Linked DNA regions of Caenorhabditis elegans. The protein of the gene in region 1 interacts with the protein of each later gene in a pairwise test. Each region holds a gene or a part of one and is shown on either strand. Other genes may lie near its edges.

What was found. Proteins that work in one complex are often made in the same cells at the same time.
Region 2: the proteins of gst-12 (region 1) and nmtn-1 interact in a two-hybrid assay, tested with the Caenorhabditis elegans proteins (one large-scale study listed by BioGRID).

The regions. Positions count from the first base shown.
Region 1 is NC_003280.10:13,613,737-13,621,325, forward strand, and holds gst-12 (glutathione transferase), read right to left. Parts: upstream 4,326-7,589; 5' UTR 4,175-4,325; coding exon 4,036-4,174; intron 3,517-4,035; coding exon 3,026-3,516; 3' UTR 2,946-3,025; downstream 1-2,945. Other genes in the region: gst-14 (glutathione transferase), read right to left, coding at 1,115-1,608, 2,224-2,362.
Region 2 is NC_003279.8:6,484,219-6,492,997, forward strand, and holds the start of nmtn-1 (CTLH domain-containing protein), read right to left. Parts: upstream 4,760-8,779; 5' UTR 4,701-4,759; coding exon 4,557-4,700; intron 4,194-4,556; coding exon 4,039-4,193; intron 3,908-4,038; coding exon 3,820-3,907; intron 3,769-3,819; coding exon 3,613-3,768; intron 3,564-3,612; coding exon 3,417-3,563; intron 2,976-3,416; coding exon 2,797-2,975; intron 2,585-2,796; coding exon 2,147-2,584; intron 2,102-2,146; coding exon 1,997-2,101; intron 1,838-1,996; coding exon 1,710-1,837; intron 1,709-1,709; exon of another isoform or gene 1,640-1,708; coding exon of another isoform or gene 1,546-1,639; intron 1,502-1,545; coding exon of another isoform or gene 1,323-1,501; intron 1,276-1,322; coding exon of another isoform or gene 1,084-1,275; intron 675-1,083; coding exon of another isoform or gene 602-674; intron 557-601; coding exon of another isoform or gene 437-556; intron 348-436; coding exon of another isoform or gene 181-347; intron 1-180. Other genes in the region: sulp-1 (STAS domain-containing protein), read left to right, coding at 181-347, 437-556, 602-674, 1,084-1,275, 1,323-1,501, 1,546-1,639; dbr-1 (Lariat debranching enzyme), read right to left, coding at 6,651-6,953, 7,017-7,280, 7,355-7,501, 7,551-7,700, 7,747-8,211, 8,335-8,508; mdt-18 (Mediator of RNA polymerase II transcription subunit 18), read right to left, coding at 8,667-8,777.

The DNA.
Region 1 (7,589 bases):
AATTTCCGTTTTTTAGACCAATTTCTTCCATGTTACGGAAAAAAGTTTTCAATTTGAAAAACAATTGCCGAATTTGTGTTTTAAATCAAATATAGAAGAAAATTTTAAAAAAAAACGCATAAATTTAGCCAAAAATGACGTCACTCATTTGCGCGAGAATTCAAATATAATTTGGGCATTTCTTTGATTTTTGAAAAATTGAAAAAAAAAATCATTAAAAATTTTTTTAAAAACATATTGTTTGGGCAATTTATTGTAAAAAATCACAAATTTTAAAACTCCTCTAAAATGGTTCATTTTGAATTTAGTTAGAGAACTCAAAATTGATCTACAAACACTAAAAAATTGCCCTTTTTCAATTTCCAGTGGTTCCAAACGTTTTAAGAAAAATCTTTTTTTTTGCCCAAAAAAAAGGACAGTCATTAGATGGCTTTAAAAAAATTGGGCAAAAAAATTTTTGGCTAAATTTGTTGAAAACGGGTAATTCGTGTATGCTGAATTCAGAAAATCTATGTTTAACCCATCAAAAACTATAACGTGGCAAAAATGGGCAATTTATGGCAAAAAATCACAATTTTGAAACTCCTCTAAAATGGTCAATTTTATAGATAGAGGACTCAAAATTGATCTGCAAACACTAAAAAATTGCCCTTTTTCAATTTCCAGTAGTTTCGAACGGTTTCAGAGAAATTTTTTTTGCCCAAAAAAAGGACAGTCCTTAGATGGCTGAAAAAAATTGGGCAAAAATAAAATGCCGTCTAAATTTGTTGAAAATAGGTAATTAATATATGCAAACTTCAGAAACTCTGCTCCATCTTTAATTCAACTTGGCATAAGTATAAAAATAAAAATGAATTGTAAAAAACCAACAAAAAAAAATCCAGAACAATCATTCTTTAGAAAACCTCCTTCGTTTTTATTTTGTTATTCTCCCCTACCCTTTCTGTTCACCAAACATCACATTTTCTTGTTTACCCCCCCCCCCCCCCCCCACGTGAGAGAGTATTGACAAGGACATTTCGGCGGCAGTCAACATTAATGAAGTTTCTGGTTGTCAAAGGAAACTTCTTTATTTTGTTTTTGAATATGGAAAACATGTTAGTAAGATTAAAAATTAGATCTCCGTTACTGGACGACTTGCGATATAGCTCTTCAGATTGGGGTGGGAATACACTTTTTCGAGATGAGCTGCTAGTTTTGGTTGCTCTCCAGAAGCTTCTAGGAGCCCATATTTTTTCAGTGTTTGAATGTTGTCAGCGATATAAAGATCCGCGAAGGTGATTGAATCTCCGATCAGATATCCTGACTTGCTCTTTTCCAGTAGGCCATTGAGAACTTTGAAGTACACATCCATAGCAGGTTTTATAACTTCAGCCGTTAACTTTTCCAGTTCTTCAGCAGATTTTCCGACTCGTTTTGCAATGACTAGTTTTCTGAATTCCGCAAAGAAATCTTTGAATTGATCGACGACGGCGTCTACCCAAGCTTCTTCCTCTGGAGTTTTTCCAGCGAACCCGAATTTTCTAGCAAGGTAGCGATTTATGGCAGCAGATTGTGGGATTTCGAAGTCATCGACGGTGAGGACAGGCAATTGTCCCATTGGGGTTTCTGGAATTCGATATATAGCAGGGGTGGGCGACATATTCCGGCAAGTCGGCAAACCGGCAAATTGTCGGAATTTAAAATTTCCGGCAAATAGACAAAATGCCGGAATTTCAAATTTCCGACAAATCGGCAAATTTTCGGAATCGAAAATTTCCGGCGAATTTGAAAATTTCGGGCAAATCGGCAAACCGGCACATTGTCGATTCTACATTTTTTCGGCAAATTGTGGTTTTGCACATTTGTTTTCGGAAATTTCATAATTTCGATTTCAATCGGCGAAACTGTTTTTAAAAAACCGGCAAACTGCCGATTTTTGTGGTGTGCGGCAAATTTCAAAACTTGCCAAGCTCGGCAAATTCGGAAAATTTTACGAACTTTCTAAACAGTAAATTCGGCAAATTTGCCGAACTCGGTAAATGTCAAATTCGGCAAGTTTGCCGAGCATGAAAAACGGCAAATATGGTAGACTTGACGAGCTCGGCGAGTCGGGCATATTCAACAAATTTGCCGAGCTTGGGAAACGGAAAATTTGATAAATTTACCGCGCTAGGTTACCAGCAAATTTGGCAAATATTGCCGCTCACCCCTGCACTACCCTACCACTTTGCCCAAACTCACTGCCTTTCATCTTCTCCCAGGTGTCATCCAAAAAGTTCACCCGTTCATCCTCAAACGGAACTCCGGCAAGATGGAATAAAAGTCTGGCTGACTCGGCTAGACCACGAACTGGGAAATAAGACAGCTTGTAGGACGGCATTTTTAGTTTCTCAAACTCATTCTCGAGACTATTTAAAGGGGAAAAAGACTAGAGTGCAGTCTGGGTACTTAGTGATCTTTCACTTCAAGATAACCCTACAAAAGATCAAAATCGTCATCATTTACGGGAAATAATAGGGAGTTTAGGGTGACAATGAGGCAATTTGTAACAAACCACAACTAGTCACATTGTGTTAGTGATCCAATGATCTTTTGAAAAGTTGAAAGGTAGGCTATGTGGGTTGCCTAGGTAGGCTAGCTTATAGGCTCTAAGCAGCCGCCTGCCTATCTACTGTCAAAGTTAATAAATAGGTAGGCACAATAGGCATGTTCTCTGAATGCGCATTATTTTTGGTTTTAGGCAAATCACGTGATGCCAGGATGTCCCAATAGGGTTTGATCTACAAAAAATGCGGGAATTTTTTGCCCAAAAATATGTGACGTCAGCACGTTCTTAACGATTTGAAATCAGTTGAGAATTCTGCGTCTCGAGAAGATCTTCTCCCGCATTTTTTGTAGATCTACGTAGATCAAAGTGGCAAATTGGTGTTCGACGTCCGGTTTTGCAAGAATGCAGGAAATTTTTTGACAGCATATCATACTTTATTATTCGTTTTCAAAAATGCGTATTTCATGAAAAGTAGAAAAAGAAAATAGAAAAAAATTAGATCTCGGTAACTGGACGACTTGCGATATAACTCTTCAGCTTCGGATGGGAGTACACTTTTTCGAGATGAGCTGCAATTTTTGGTTGCTCCGTAGCATTCAGGAATCCAAAGTTTTTAAGGGATTGCATATCTTCAGCGATGAAAAGATCCGCAAAGGTGATCGAATCCCCGATGAGATATCCTGACTTGCTCTTTTCCAGAAGGCCATTGAGAATTTTGAAGAACGAGCTTACAGCTGGATTGATAACTTCCTTGGTGAGCTTTTCAATTTCTTCCACTGATTTTCCGGCTCGCTGAGCAATAATTAGTTTTCTGAATTCTCCAAAAAAATCCTTGAATTGATCGACGACGGCGTCCACCCAAGCTTCTTCTTCAGGAGTTTTTCCAGCGAACCCGAATTTTCTAGCAAGGTAGCGAGTGATGGCAGCAGATTGGGGGATTTCAAATCCGTCGACGTTTAGGACAGGCATTTGACCCATTGGGGTTTCTGAAAATACTACTTTTTGAAATTCGCCGCTCCCAACACAGAAGGATTTGAAAAATTTGACCGAAATTATTGATTTTGTTGTTTAAAAAATTATAGTAAAGTATCATAAAATTGAGGTAATTCAAATTTTATGTACTTGGAATTTGGCCCAAAAAATTAACTTCAGAATCAGAAGTTGCCTAAACGGTTTCGGGCGACCCATTTTGGCCCAAATTTTTGGCCCACCTGAATCCAAGTTTTGCCCAAATTTAGACAACTTCTGATCCAAGTTAATATTTTTTGGGCCAAAATTGGGCAAGAAGCTAAGGCCAAATGCCGGGTAGGCCGACCACACGGACGCTATTCAAAAATCAAAATTGTGCAAAGAATTCAGTACTTTTGGTGCTACTAGAAATATCAGAAAATTTCTAATTTTTCGAATTTTGCTCAGCACGGCAAATTTGCCAAATTTGCCGAATTGGCAGAGCTCGGCAAATTTTGATGTTTGCCGCACTACCGTTCCACTAAGCCAAAACTCACTGTCCTTCAGCTTCTCCCAGCTTCCATCTCCAAAAGTCAGTCGTTCATCCTCAAACGGAACTCCGGCAAGATGAAATAAAAGTCTGGCGGGCTCAGCGAGTCCACGAACGGCAAAGTAGGTCAACTTGTAGGAAGGCATCTTGAAAATAATGTTAGTTGAATCAATTTGTGTCCAACAGTGGTCGAAATCACTTTATATGCACTTTGCGCGGAGATGTCTGCGTCTCTTACAGATACTTCATGTCAAATTAGCCAACAAAACATCAAAATTGTCATCATTTTACGGGATCTATATGTTGAAAACGTGGTAGCCATGCTGACAAACTAAGAAATGGGAACAAACCACGGCTGGTCACAAAAAACTTTGATCCAGAGATCAAAAAATATATATTTCCTCTAAAAACCCAACAAAAAAAGAAGATTTACGGTATGGTCCCTATTTTGAACGAAACTATTGTTATTTTTATAAAAGTCTGTTGGAAACGAAAATTTTCTGGAAGCATTTCCGAAAAATCTATTTTTTATAAATAAAGTTCACTGCAAAAATTCTTCTTTTTTTTTTTGCTAAAAATAATGGCAACATTGAAAAAAAAAACATAAAAATAAAAATTCTCGGTTCGCTTCGCTCTCCGAGAAATAGTTTTCCCAGCTCAAGCTGCGCTCTTGTCAACACGAAATTTATGGTATTATGGGTTTATTTTTTGGGTTATAGTGTGGTATAGGTACGTGATAATTGATAATAATGGGGATTTGGGCGCGTGGCGCCCAAATTTGAATTCGATAAGATAAGGGCCTCGAAATTTTAATTAAGGGTAATTAGTATCCTGGTGGGTGGCCCAATCGTTTCCCTCGCAGTCGTTTCTCCTCGGTTCTGATCGTCGTCGATCTGGTGGCTGAGCGGAGAGTGACGTCGAAGACTGCTGTCTGCCGTGGGAAAACTGAAAAACCTTGTGCAGAATTATGAGTTACTGAGCTGAGCCATATATAGGCGTATTCCTTAAATCAATTATACAAAAAACTTCTCTGTTAATCCTGAGTCGTAGCTAAACGCCTTGCAATACTGCATCCCTGAAGAGCAATGTGGCACGAGGAAAACGGTCCAGAATGGAGATCGACGTTCCTCCCTATTTTTCCCATCTTCTTTCTTCTCTCCTTTCTCCGACCGAATACAGCGCTGCATAGACGAAGGCTGACGATCCTGAACCCGAATTTCGGAGTCGCCTTCCCAAATGTGTCACGATGCCCGACGGCTGAGCGATGAAAATATGAAATCTGTAGAATGGGCACTAGTCCAATTATTATTATCTGAAACTGAATATTTAGTAAATTCGATGGTTTGTCTTCAATTCCGATGTTTGAAGTTCTGGGATCGGCGTCCTTTCCCGGTTTTAGTCCGAAATTTTTTATGGGAAATAAGTCAAAAGCTATATATCGTATCTAGGTTCATAAATTTTTCGAAAAACACCTGATTTTTTCAATATTTGTCCAAAATTTGAACCTGCATTTGATAATTCGTGTTTCCTTGCGGCATCCGGCGCCGGAAAAGAAGTCGTGCGAGACTCGAACTCTCGAAGAACGTCGAATTTTCTGTGGTCTCTATAGGTGAAAACATAAGTCTCTGCAAAATAGATCATTATTCAAACTTCGAAACTGGCTCCACGAGCCCAAATCCGAAAATATTTTACTCTACAGAACTGCAAAAATGAAGCTTCCCTGCTACCGCCGAAACAAGCACAAGGGTCAAACTGCTTTTGTTGCAGATTGACACCGACTGCCCACTCTGGCGGAATCTGAAGGAAAAAGGAAGGCTCACCTGATGCCAATCAACTTACGGTGTAATCACATTTTATGGATAGTTCATAATGTCCTCACGTAGGATTGGAATATAGTGTAGGTGCATGGCACTTTGGAATAACAGATGTGTGGGGCGGGCGGGTGGGAACCAACACGTAGAATGGTGACAAATCGCCGCTGCGGCCAAGGCAAGATTTCATCGCGTCGAGACCCATCGAACACTAAAGGCGATGCGCCTTTAAGCTGGCGGTACGATACTCGCTCCGCTTTCTCGGGGAAAACATATAATTCTCGGTTCGCTTCGCTCTCCGAGAAATAGTTTTCCCAGCTCAAGCTGCGCTCTTGTCAACACGAAATTTATGGTATTATGGGTTTATTTTTTGGGTTATAGTGTGGTATAGGGTAGAACAAGCAGAGCCTGGGGCTATAGAGGTCAAGTCTTAGTGTGTCTCGACCGAAAGTATGACGGAAAGAGTTACGTACATAAAATTTTGAGAAGATACCAACCCTTCAATACCCAATTAATTGAGATAAAAACACTGCATAAAATTATCCGATTACACTCATCTGTGTGACTTTAAACTCAGAGGACGGGTCCCTCTGCCTGTAACTGCCACGTCATATCCATATCAGGATCCAACCTCTCGGATAATCGCAACTTAACTCTGAACCAATTATAGCAAGGTAAAATGAGAAATGAAATACAAATTACTTCACGGTCTGCGAATTTCTTGTCCAGTCTTGTGGGGCTGTTGCGCGGACGTGTGTAATTCCTACGTCCACTTACGGTACTTCTACATTATCTTTCTCAAAACTAACGAAGCCTCGTCGTCAATAATAGTAGGCAACGGAAAATAGTTTGAAACTAAATCCATGAAAAACGAGTAGGCAAAGAAACCAAAGAAGTATACAGCTAGTTTACGTATACCAGAACACGGCCTCTCGTTAATCATGATTTAGCAGACGACAAAAGAGAGAATATACGCGCGACTCGATATGATAACTGCCTAGATCGACCGCTTAACAGTATAGGATAAAAACTGATAGAAAGAGTCAAGCACCGGAATCTCACTTTTTCAGCTCCGCCCCTGCCAACTTCCTACATAAACTTGGATGCCTGCTACGTAAACTTGCTCTACTCCTACGTAGTCTGCGTCGTGATTATAGCGGGAACGGGGTTAGTTGAAAAACGGCAATCATGAAATTCGCGGGAAAGCAAAGGATAACATCTAGAGGGAGTAAATAAATACGTGATCTCGAAACACGCAGCAACACTGAAAAAACTATCACCTCTTAAAAAATAAAACATGATTTAAATGACAACTGTTCGGCTTGGAGCCCCTGGGGCCCGAAATGTAGCTATTCCATATCGTCTGACTATCCGTATACGTTCGATGCTTTTCAAAGAGCCAATTCAAAATCGAACTTCCAGTCTGGCTTTTCATCACTCCTACGTAGGTCTGCGCCACTCTTACATAGGCCTGCGCCACTCTTACATAGGCCTGCGCCACTCTTACGCAGCCCTGAGCCACTCTTGCGGAGACCTGCGCCATTCTTACGTAGACTCGCGTTTCTCCTTAGTAATCTTGCGCTAGTCCTTCATAGACTTGTAGAAATCCTACGTAATCAAGAGAAGTAGATACACCGGAAAAAAGAGAACACGAGATACCTTGAAAAACGATAGATAACGGAAAAGTAAATTGCGAAATCTACCGGTAATCTAATCGTACACACACAAACCAGCTGACGGATTATCTCCA
Region 2 (8,779 bases), on another chromosome or scaffold:
AGATTTTTTAACGCGACGCATTGGTTTACTACTTTTGGAAGAAATTCAAATTGGGAGATTAGCCAGTGTTGAACTTTTAATTTTTCTTTTGTGATACTTCCACATTTTGAACTTGTTCTTCTGATATTTCAAAAAATATTTCCCCGCAGATCTAAGAACAAAAAATCGATAAATTTTCAGGCAATTGCTATGGCTGCAATTGTGAGTGCTTTAATTTTCCCAAATGTGTGCACTGGCTTCATCTGTATGTTGTTTTGCTCAATTTTCGCAGTTTCATTGAAAGTCCAATTCCCGAATGTTGAGGTTCTTGCCAAGCTGTCTGAGTCGCATTTTGCTGAGGAGAATCGGTGAGTTTTCTAGCCGGGTACACGTTTTCTTGTCAATTTCATAATTATTCAAGCTGTGTTGTAAATATTCTTAAACCGTCATGTTCCAGTTACGAAGGTGATTGCCTTGATACTCCTCTTCGAATCATTCGTCTCAGTGGACCACTTCTTTCCGTTAATTGTGAAAGTATCAGAAGTGAACTTTTCAAACAGGCGGTTGTTGTCAAAGGGTAATTTGTAAATTTCCAGTAAAAAATTAACTTTGTGAACTTTAGTCTGATCGGAATTGGAATCGGAACTCGAACTGCATCTTTACGTAGTCAATGTCCATCAGCAATTGGACCAAAAGTGAGTATTATCCATTCGTCAGTGGTGGGAATTATTGCGTTGAGTGAACAAATAACTGTGAACAAGTGAACCCTGTTGTACATTTTGAACTGTTTTTGAGATGTAATTGTGAGATGTCATTCAAAGTGATAACCTAATTTTTAATGAAAAACATAAATGTAGAAATATGGAACAATTTCATTGCATCGAAAATAATTTGAACCCTTCTTCAGCAAAAATAATATTTTTTTGAAAAAATAATTTTGTATATATTACTTCTACACTACCTTTGGTTTGAAAAAGTTTATGATATCATTCCAAATTAAATTAGCTTTCAAAAAAAATCTTCATCAGTCCATAACCTCTTACTGACGAATGGATATTTCAAGTTTTTCTTCTTCTAGAACTAAACTAATATCTTCCAATCAAGTTCTCAATTCAGGAAAGTATATGTGCACGGGAATCTGTGAATCTCTCAGCAAACATTACGATAATTCAAGAGTGTGATGTCTCCGTGGCTCTGCCACCTTCAGAAGATACTCCTCCAATTGTTAGATTTCTCGTTTTGTCAATGAATGGAGTGACTGGTATTGATAAGGATATGTTGACATGTTTATCACAGGTGTGAACGGACATTTGTGAACCGTACTCAATTCAAACATCGTTTAGGTGTACGGAGACTTGAGCAGTGAAAATATAAAAATACTATTGGCTGGTGTACCCGCATTTGTACGTGATTCAATGGAGCTTCTGGGATTTTATAATACAGTCCCAAGAACTCAATTTTATCCAAATGTTCAAGAAGCATTACTATCAGCAAGGAATACAGTACTTCCATTCCATATGAGGTATTTTTAGTACTCTTTTGTGTCCTTTTACCCCATCTTTTCAGTGTTTCTATGAATGGTTATCGTGACGTCATAGCTCTCTCGTGTGCTGCATCCAATGCAGACTTGAATCGACAACCGTCACCGGAAGCAGTCTGATTCCCTTTCTTTCCACTCAGTTTCATATCATTTTACCTCTTATCAGATCTCATAAAACTTTTTGACTTACTTATTTGTTTAGCAGCAGAAAACTGTTGGAAGAGACGGCTTTGAGTCATCAAATTTTCTTCGTGGTGACTATTAACAGCTGGTGAACCGAGTTCTGGTACAGTTGGAAGGCGGGATGGAGGCAAGGATCTGTAGCATATTTCTATTTACTATCATGAAATGAACAAACAATATTTTCTGTCTGGATTTTTCAGAAACAATTCACATTTACCCTACAGTACTCCCCTTCCATCTTACAGAGAATCTGTGCTACATATCGTAAGTTCTGAACAAATGTGCATTACTCACCTTCGTGCCATTTCATCCAATTGCCTTCGAACTGGAGCAAAATCGTAATTAATCATATTTTGAGCCATTGGAGCGATCGGCGCCATCACTTGGGGAGCCATTGACCTAAATAATATATATCTTTCACTTATTTGAATTTATAAAAATTACATGCTCATCATTTGACTTGAGAGTTGAGATGGGGCATTGATCATTACTTGTGCAGGTTGTACAGGAACAATTGTATCTCCAGTCATCATCATTCCAACTCCTCTCAATGTATCAGGTCTTGATGTTCTTGCCAATTGACTTGATTCCATCATTTCATCAATTAGAAGACTCTGCGCCATTGCATCAGCTTCTGTTATTGCCGTTCCCAAACAAAATCCTGCAGCTGTTGACTGTGACATTGGATGGCCACGTGGCACCGATGGGAACATTGAAGTGGTCAAATCGGCTGGGGGAAGCATGCTCATTGTCATTGATTGGCTCATTTTCTCCGCGAATTTTAATTTGGAGGATGGAACAAGATTATGAGGGAATTGACCACCAGGTTTGATTGGAGTTGCCATAATTGTTTCTGTCCAAGGAGCTTCCAGTTTCGGTTTCCTATAATATCATTTAAAAATAAAATTTATTTGAGACTATTTTTTTGGCATAATGTTTTTGAGTTTCCAACAAGATGAGATGGACGTAACGTGCGTCATTATATGCCTCTTCACTCGTCCTCCTCGCAGCGTTTACATCCATCACTTTTTGGATACCTTTTTCGGGCAAAAGGCGATTTGTCTGCTGCTTAATAAAAAATAATTCAAACTTACCTTATATGATCGACTTTCAACTCCAATTGTTTCTGCTTGAAAGGCATTGAAAATTGTTCTTTTCCTACCATTTCTAACCAGCAAACTAATGATAAATCAGCCGATCCGAGCTTCGGACGGAATGTCAACATTTCTGATGGCATCGGGCCAGCGTCGATACCTCGTTTATCACCAATTGCCTGAAAAATGTTGATGTTATAAATATTAACATTGATGGCGGAGTAGCTCCAGTGAGGAAATAGCAGCACAATGACCAAATATCATAATAAAAAATTTAATCAATTTTTCTAAATTTTATATGATTTTTTGAAAATTGGCAAAAACTCGGTTTTTGCCACTTTTTCGGAAGCCGATCCAAAAAACTTCCTTTCATTTTTATGGTCTACTTATGTTTCAAACATTTATATTCAAACATTGTAGGGAACATGCAACAGTGCTATAGTTTTCTTCAAAAGTGGCAAAAACTCAGTAATGACCACTTTTTGGACGGTCACTAAAATTTTTTTGAAAAAAAAAGTTCATTTCAATATTCGGTCATTTTGGCACCATGGAAGTTGTTTTTAACAAGTTCTCGTCTTCTTTTTTTTTTTCAGAAAATACATTTTGAAACTACAACTAACCTGTGCTTGACAGTAATCTACACAACCTTCGTAGAATCTTCCTTTTGTAATTAATCCAGTTAATCTGTCATTTGAACTATTTGCATCATCTCCTCGGTCTTTTTCCTTCCCAGTTGGTGGAAGCAAATGTCCACAGAGTTGGTTAACCTGTAAAATAACCCATAGATTTCTGAATTCAGAAATCAAAATCACCCACCTTATTGAAACACTCAACCCTTGCAGAACTTGGATTCCAATTCTTAAAATCTTCGTGATCTGATAGTTTTGGAAGTGTCAAAAGTGCACACAAATGACGATAATCTTCGGGAGTCGGACAAATGTGTTCCAAATCTTTCAGACATTCTACGAGTTCCTTTAAATCAACATTTTAAAAATTTAAAATGTACTTCTAAAAGGTGTATACCTCTACTGCAAAGTCGTTGTCATGTAAAGGTCCGGGCTCGAGCTTGACGCATAGGAGTTCGAAGAATTTGTATTTTGTTATATTATATCTAAATCATGTTTTTTGAAAATAATGACAGAACTCATTTAATAAAAAATGGCAAACATTTTGTTTCTCGAAAATTTATATTGTTAAAGTTTACACCTTTCTTATAAAACATTTCAGCCCTAAAAAACCAACCGAAAAGCTCCAAAATCAAATTCATTGACCGGCTTTAAAGGTTCCACAAAATCGAGAGCATTATCCCATTGCCCATCAAGAATCAGTTGGCGTAAAAATAAGAGATCATCAGAGAAAGCACCATTGATAACACCAGCTTCACGTTCTAGAGATAACTGAAAGCGTAATAATTGAGCCTGTGTCTGAGTTTGGATTAAAAATTTTAAAAAAATTTAAATGTTTCTGGTACAATCATCACTAAATTAAATTTCTGGTTAAAATGTGTAGTTCTTGAATAAGAAGTCTGATTCTCCGTAAATACAAACTTTCAATTGGGGTTTACGAATTGAACACTACATAATATATCAAAATCAGTAAGGTGGTAATAAATACATTTATAATAGTCCAAAATTATCGAATATCATTACATATAAACCACTCCAAAAAATATTTAGAGTTTAGAAAAATTGCAGTCAAGGTTTTGGCAAATTGGCAAATTTACGAAAAATGTGGGTTTCTGAGATACATTTTTTACTCACCTGTGTTATATGTAGACCTCGAATCTCTAAAAATTCTAAGATAGCTTTGATGACGTCACGTTCTCGAATCAAGAATGGTATTCCACTTGGCGTTTTCGGCGATTTGACAGACGTCGTTAAAGCCGACGGGATCCTATTATCCATTTTAGCATGGATAATGTTATTGCGAAATCTCGAAAATGACAATAATGAAAAATACCAACTAACTGCTTTTTGGGGAAAACTGGTAGTGGGGCTAGCTTTAACGAGAGATGATAGAGACGCAGACTGAAAAGAGGGTCGATGTGAAGAAGAAAGCGAAGAGATGGAGCAAGTAGGGGGAGTATTCCCATATAAAGGGAGCAGATGGTGTCAAGAAGAGAAGAATGAGATAGTACATAAGAAATGGAGACATAGAGAAATCGAAGAAGCAACATGGACAGATGGTATCATGACTGATTTACTGTATCTTATTTCTGATATCGTCTGACATAGAGATTACTGGATACATATATTTAGGTATTTAGACCTATTGGTACTACTGGAATTCTTCAATATGAGACTGAAAAGGGTGGATATTATACCAGTCTTGATGCCTCAAAGGGAAATCATTCACAACCACTTTTATGGTGCACAAATGACCAAATGTAAAACTGCTCAAAAATTCTCGGCAGAATTTTTTTTCTCAGTCAAAAAATTGCAATAACTCTGTTTTCATCTATGTATCACCTTAATTTTGGAGTCGACCAAAGGATATGCTTTTTTTAAAAGTATTAGTTTTTAAATTCTAACATTGTAATGCTCTTAATCCGCAGCAATACTCGAAAATTCTCAAAGTCCAATACTTTTCAAAATTTTATAACTTACTATTAGTACCAGAACTGTTTTTCCAAAAATTGGGGTCTCCCCTGCATATATTCTCTCCCTCTCTCTCTGCCAATACTTTGTACGGATACGTTTATAATAACTTTTATAATAGACCAACATAGCCGAAACACTCCAAAACTTTATTTAAATCCACAATTTTCAAATTTTTGGTAAACTACCAAATTTGGGATAGTTGTATTGTTGTATTTAAAATTGTATTCTTGCATTTTTTCACAATGTTCGAGTAAAAATATTTAAAAATAAATTTTAAAAAAACTGTGTAACTGACCTTTCGACTGTAAATCAAATCAACTCAAACATTTAAAAAAAAAGCTTTACTCTGAATTTTGGTAATGTTAACACTATACGAACTAGTTATACTAATTTCATCCATGGCTTTCCTTGGCGTAAAATCTCTCTAATTTTGAACGAAAACAAAGAAACTAATAAAAAGTATAGAGTACTTGATGGGAACACACCAACAAAACGAACAAAAAACAACTGATTCATCCCTGTCTCTTCTCATTCGAAAAAATGGAGAGAATGAGGGAAAAGGTACGAAAATGATCGACGAGAGGAGGAGAGGATACTCTACTGCAACGGATAAAACTGAATGAGAATTGTTTGTTTTTTTTTGTACATAGAAAATTTTTTGTAAAATAGCTCAATTATATTTTAAACCGAGTGGTAGTTCTGTTTTTTTAATCGGGTCTTGCAGCGATTTTGATTAGATTACTGTAACTATTCATGGAAGGCGTCAGAATATGTGGATGCACTTTGAAATAGAAAACCCTAACATAAATTTTACTAAAGAAATTAGGCTCTAAAGATTTGAAACCATAAACAAAACGGAACAGTTAAATTTTAAAAAATGTGTACCGTCCATTATATAGGCGGAGCTCTTCCGTATTCTCTATAAAACCGTTGAAGAAGTCCACGTTGGGTCAAAGAGATCGAGGAAAAGTTTAACAATAAGTGAGTGTAGCGGAAAAAGAGCATCCATTGTAAATGCATCGACTTGCTTCTTCCGCTTTTTTTTATTTGGGAGTCTCCCTGCATTTTCATAGTCTATATTTGTTTGTGAGAAAACGTGAACATGAGAGGTGCTTTATTTTTTTGGCAATTTAAAGTTTTTTTGAGATGTTAACATAGAGTATACAACAACAAACGGCAATATCTTGATGTCAAAAAAATAAATATTTGGCAATGTGGTCTTCAATTAGAAACTACGTTGTAAAGTATTCAACATCATTCGGATGGTACTGCTTCAAACTTATCTTCGTCCAATCTACTTTTTTTCGCTTCTGGCTCATCGGAGGTGTGCCCTCTGTCGATTACAAAATCTTCGTCACCAAAATCCACGTCATCTTGATTTGGTTTAGCGTTCGCATCGTCTTGAGTCATCATGTAGTACGGAGTTCCAACGTGTTCAGATGTTTTTTCAACGAGCATCTGATTAAGATCCCGAATACCAAGCCACTGACAAAACTCGGCAGATTGTGGATTACGGTAGTAGGCGCTTGGTGGCACATTTTTGGATGATTCCGTAATCTGTAAACAGTTGTTTTAATTACTATCCTTAAGAGATCCACGAAATTCTGAGATGACACTTACCTCTTTTAACGGAGGCGCAGTTTGTTGGAAACTGTCAGTTCTGATTGTTAAATCTCCGAGTTTTTCGATTTCTTTTAACTCCTCTGCTGTTGGTCGAAAATCTTTTCTTTCGTAGACACATGGACGATTTGATGCCATATCGGGAAGTATCAGCTGTTCTTTTGTTCCAGTTGTTAATAAATCTGTATTTCTCAGAATAGCCAACCATTGTGGATCATATGACAGTTCCAGTTTAGCATCGTCTGCAACATTCAACTCGAGAGCCTGAAAAATGAAAAAATTTATTCGATTGTATAATATTGAATGTTGAAGTTTAAAAAGTGAACGTGACGACTTGCCTGCATAAACTTTCTCCCAGGAATCGGTTTATCCAGTGATAAGAATCGTGTAGGCTGTGGACGGCCTGATCCTGAACCTTTATGAGGAACAAGGGCCGCAAAAGCAATATGAAGATGTGCAGCAAGATAGTATCTGGGCCGGCAATCCTAAAATACATACATACAGTAATTTTGCAAATATCACCAAAAAACATACATAAATCAGTTTCATTCCAGAAGGATTCCCCAGTTTGCCACTATTGTGATCTGCTTCAAATAAATCCTTTTTCCGGAAAAGCCATTCCTTATCACCAAAATCAGGAATACCTCCAGGCCAATCGTGTGAGAGCATTATGTCAATTGGGTTCTAAAATAGGAAAATGTTCATAAAAAAGTAATTTTCAAGCTTATACCGATATCTTATTTTCATTATCAGATTTCAATTGTCTTAACCGGAACATATCAACGTTTCGAACGTGATATGCGCTTTTAACATCTCTTTCCGAAAACGAAGGGCGTTCGTAATGCGAAAATTGAAAATCTCCTTGCGAGAAAATTCCAGAGAGTCCTGCGATACGAAGGTTAGCAAATCGAATGCAATTTGCGAATCCCATGTAATAAATATTCGGCGCCACCCATCCTCCATTAGGCAATTCACATAGATAACCAGATGCTTCATGGTTTCCGCCGATGAATAGAGTTAGAACTGGTGCTTTTTGTTCTCCAGAATAGTATTTATAGAATGTTTGAAGACTTCTGTACTTTGGTGGAATACTCATATGTGGAAGGTCGCCGTAGTTTCGGACAGCTTGATAATCGCCACAACAGATCAGCAAATCGAATTTGTAGCCATTTTTCTGTTCGATTAGTGTCATTGTCTGAAATATTTTTTTTAAATAGTTGTAATTTTAAATAGCAATTAAAACAATCTAATAGAGAAAATAGATCTGAAATATGCCATTAATTTTGTTCGAAAAATATGATTTTTTTTTAAATTTTACCTCATAAATAGCATCCATTTCTCCGTGAGAGCATCCGACAACAGCAATTCGTATTTTCTTTTCCCCATTGTTAACTTCTTTTTCAACTACTAACGTCTCCGGAGCAGGATCTTGATGCGAACCTTCATGGGAGCCACAGCAAGGTTGCTCATCTACTGGATTTTTCGATGACATTCTAAATTTTCATTGGAGTAAAAAAATGTTTAATGTTGATATCAGAAAATAAAAGGTATAAACCATTGAAGCTTTGTGGGATATTAACATTATTGAATACTTCGTGAATTTTATAAATTAAATAACGTATCAAAGTGAGATCAATCAATTAATGAAGATTAACGACGAGGAGCTGCTTGAGCTGGGAACATTTTCTTCCAGTAATCGACTTTTTCCATATTAACAAGTGGCATCAGCTGATCGGCAAAATCACGAAGAGACTTGGCAGCCT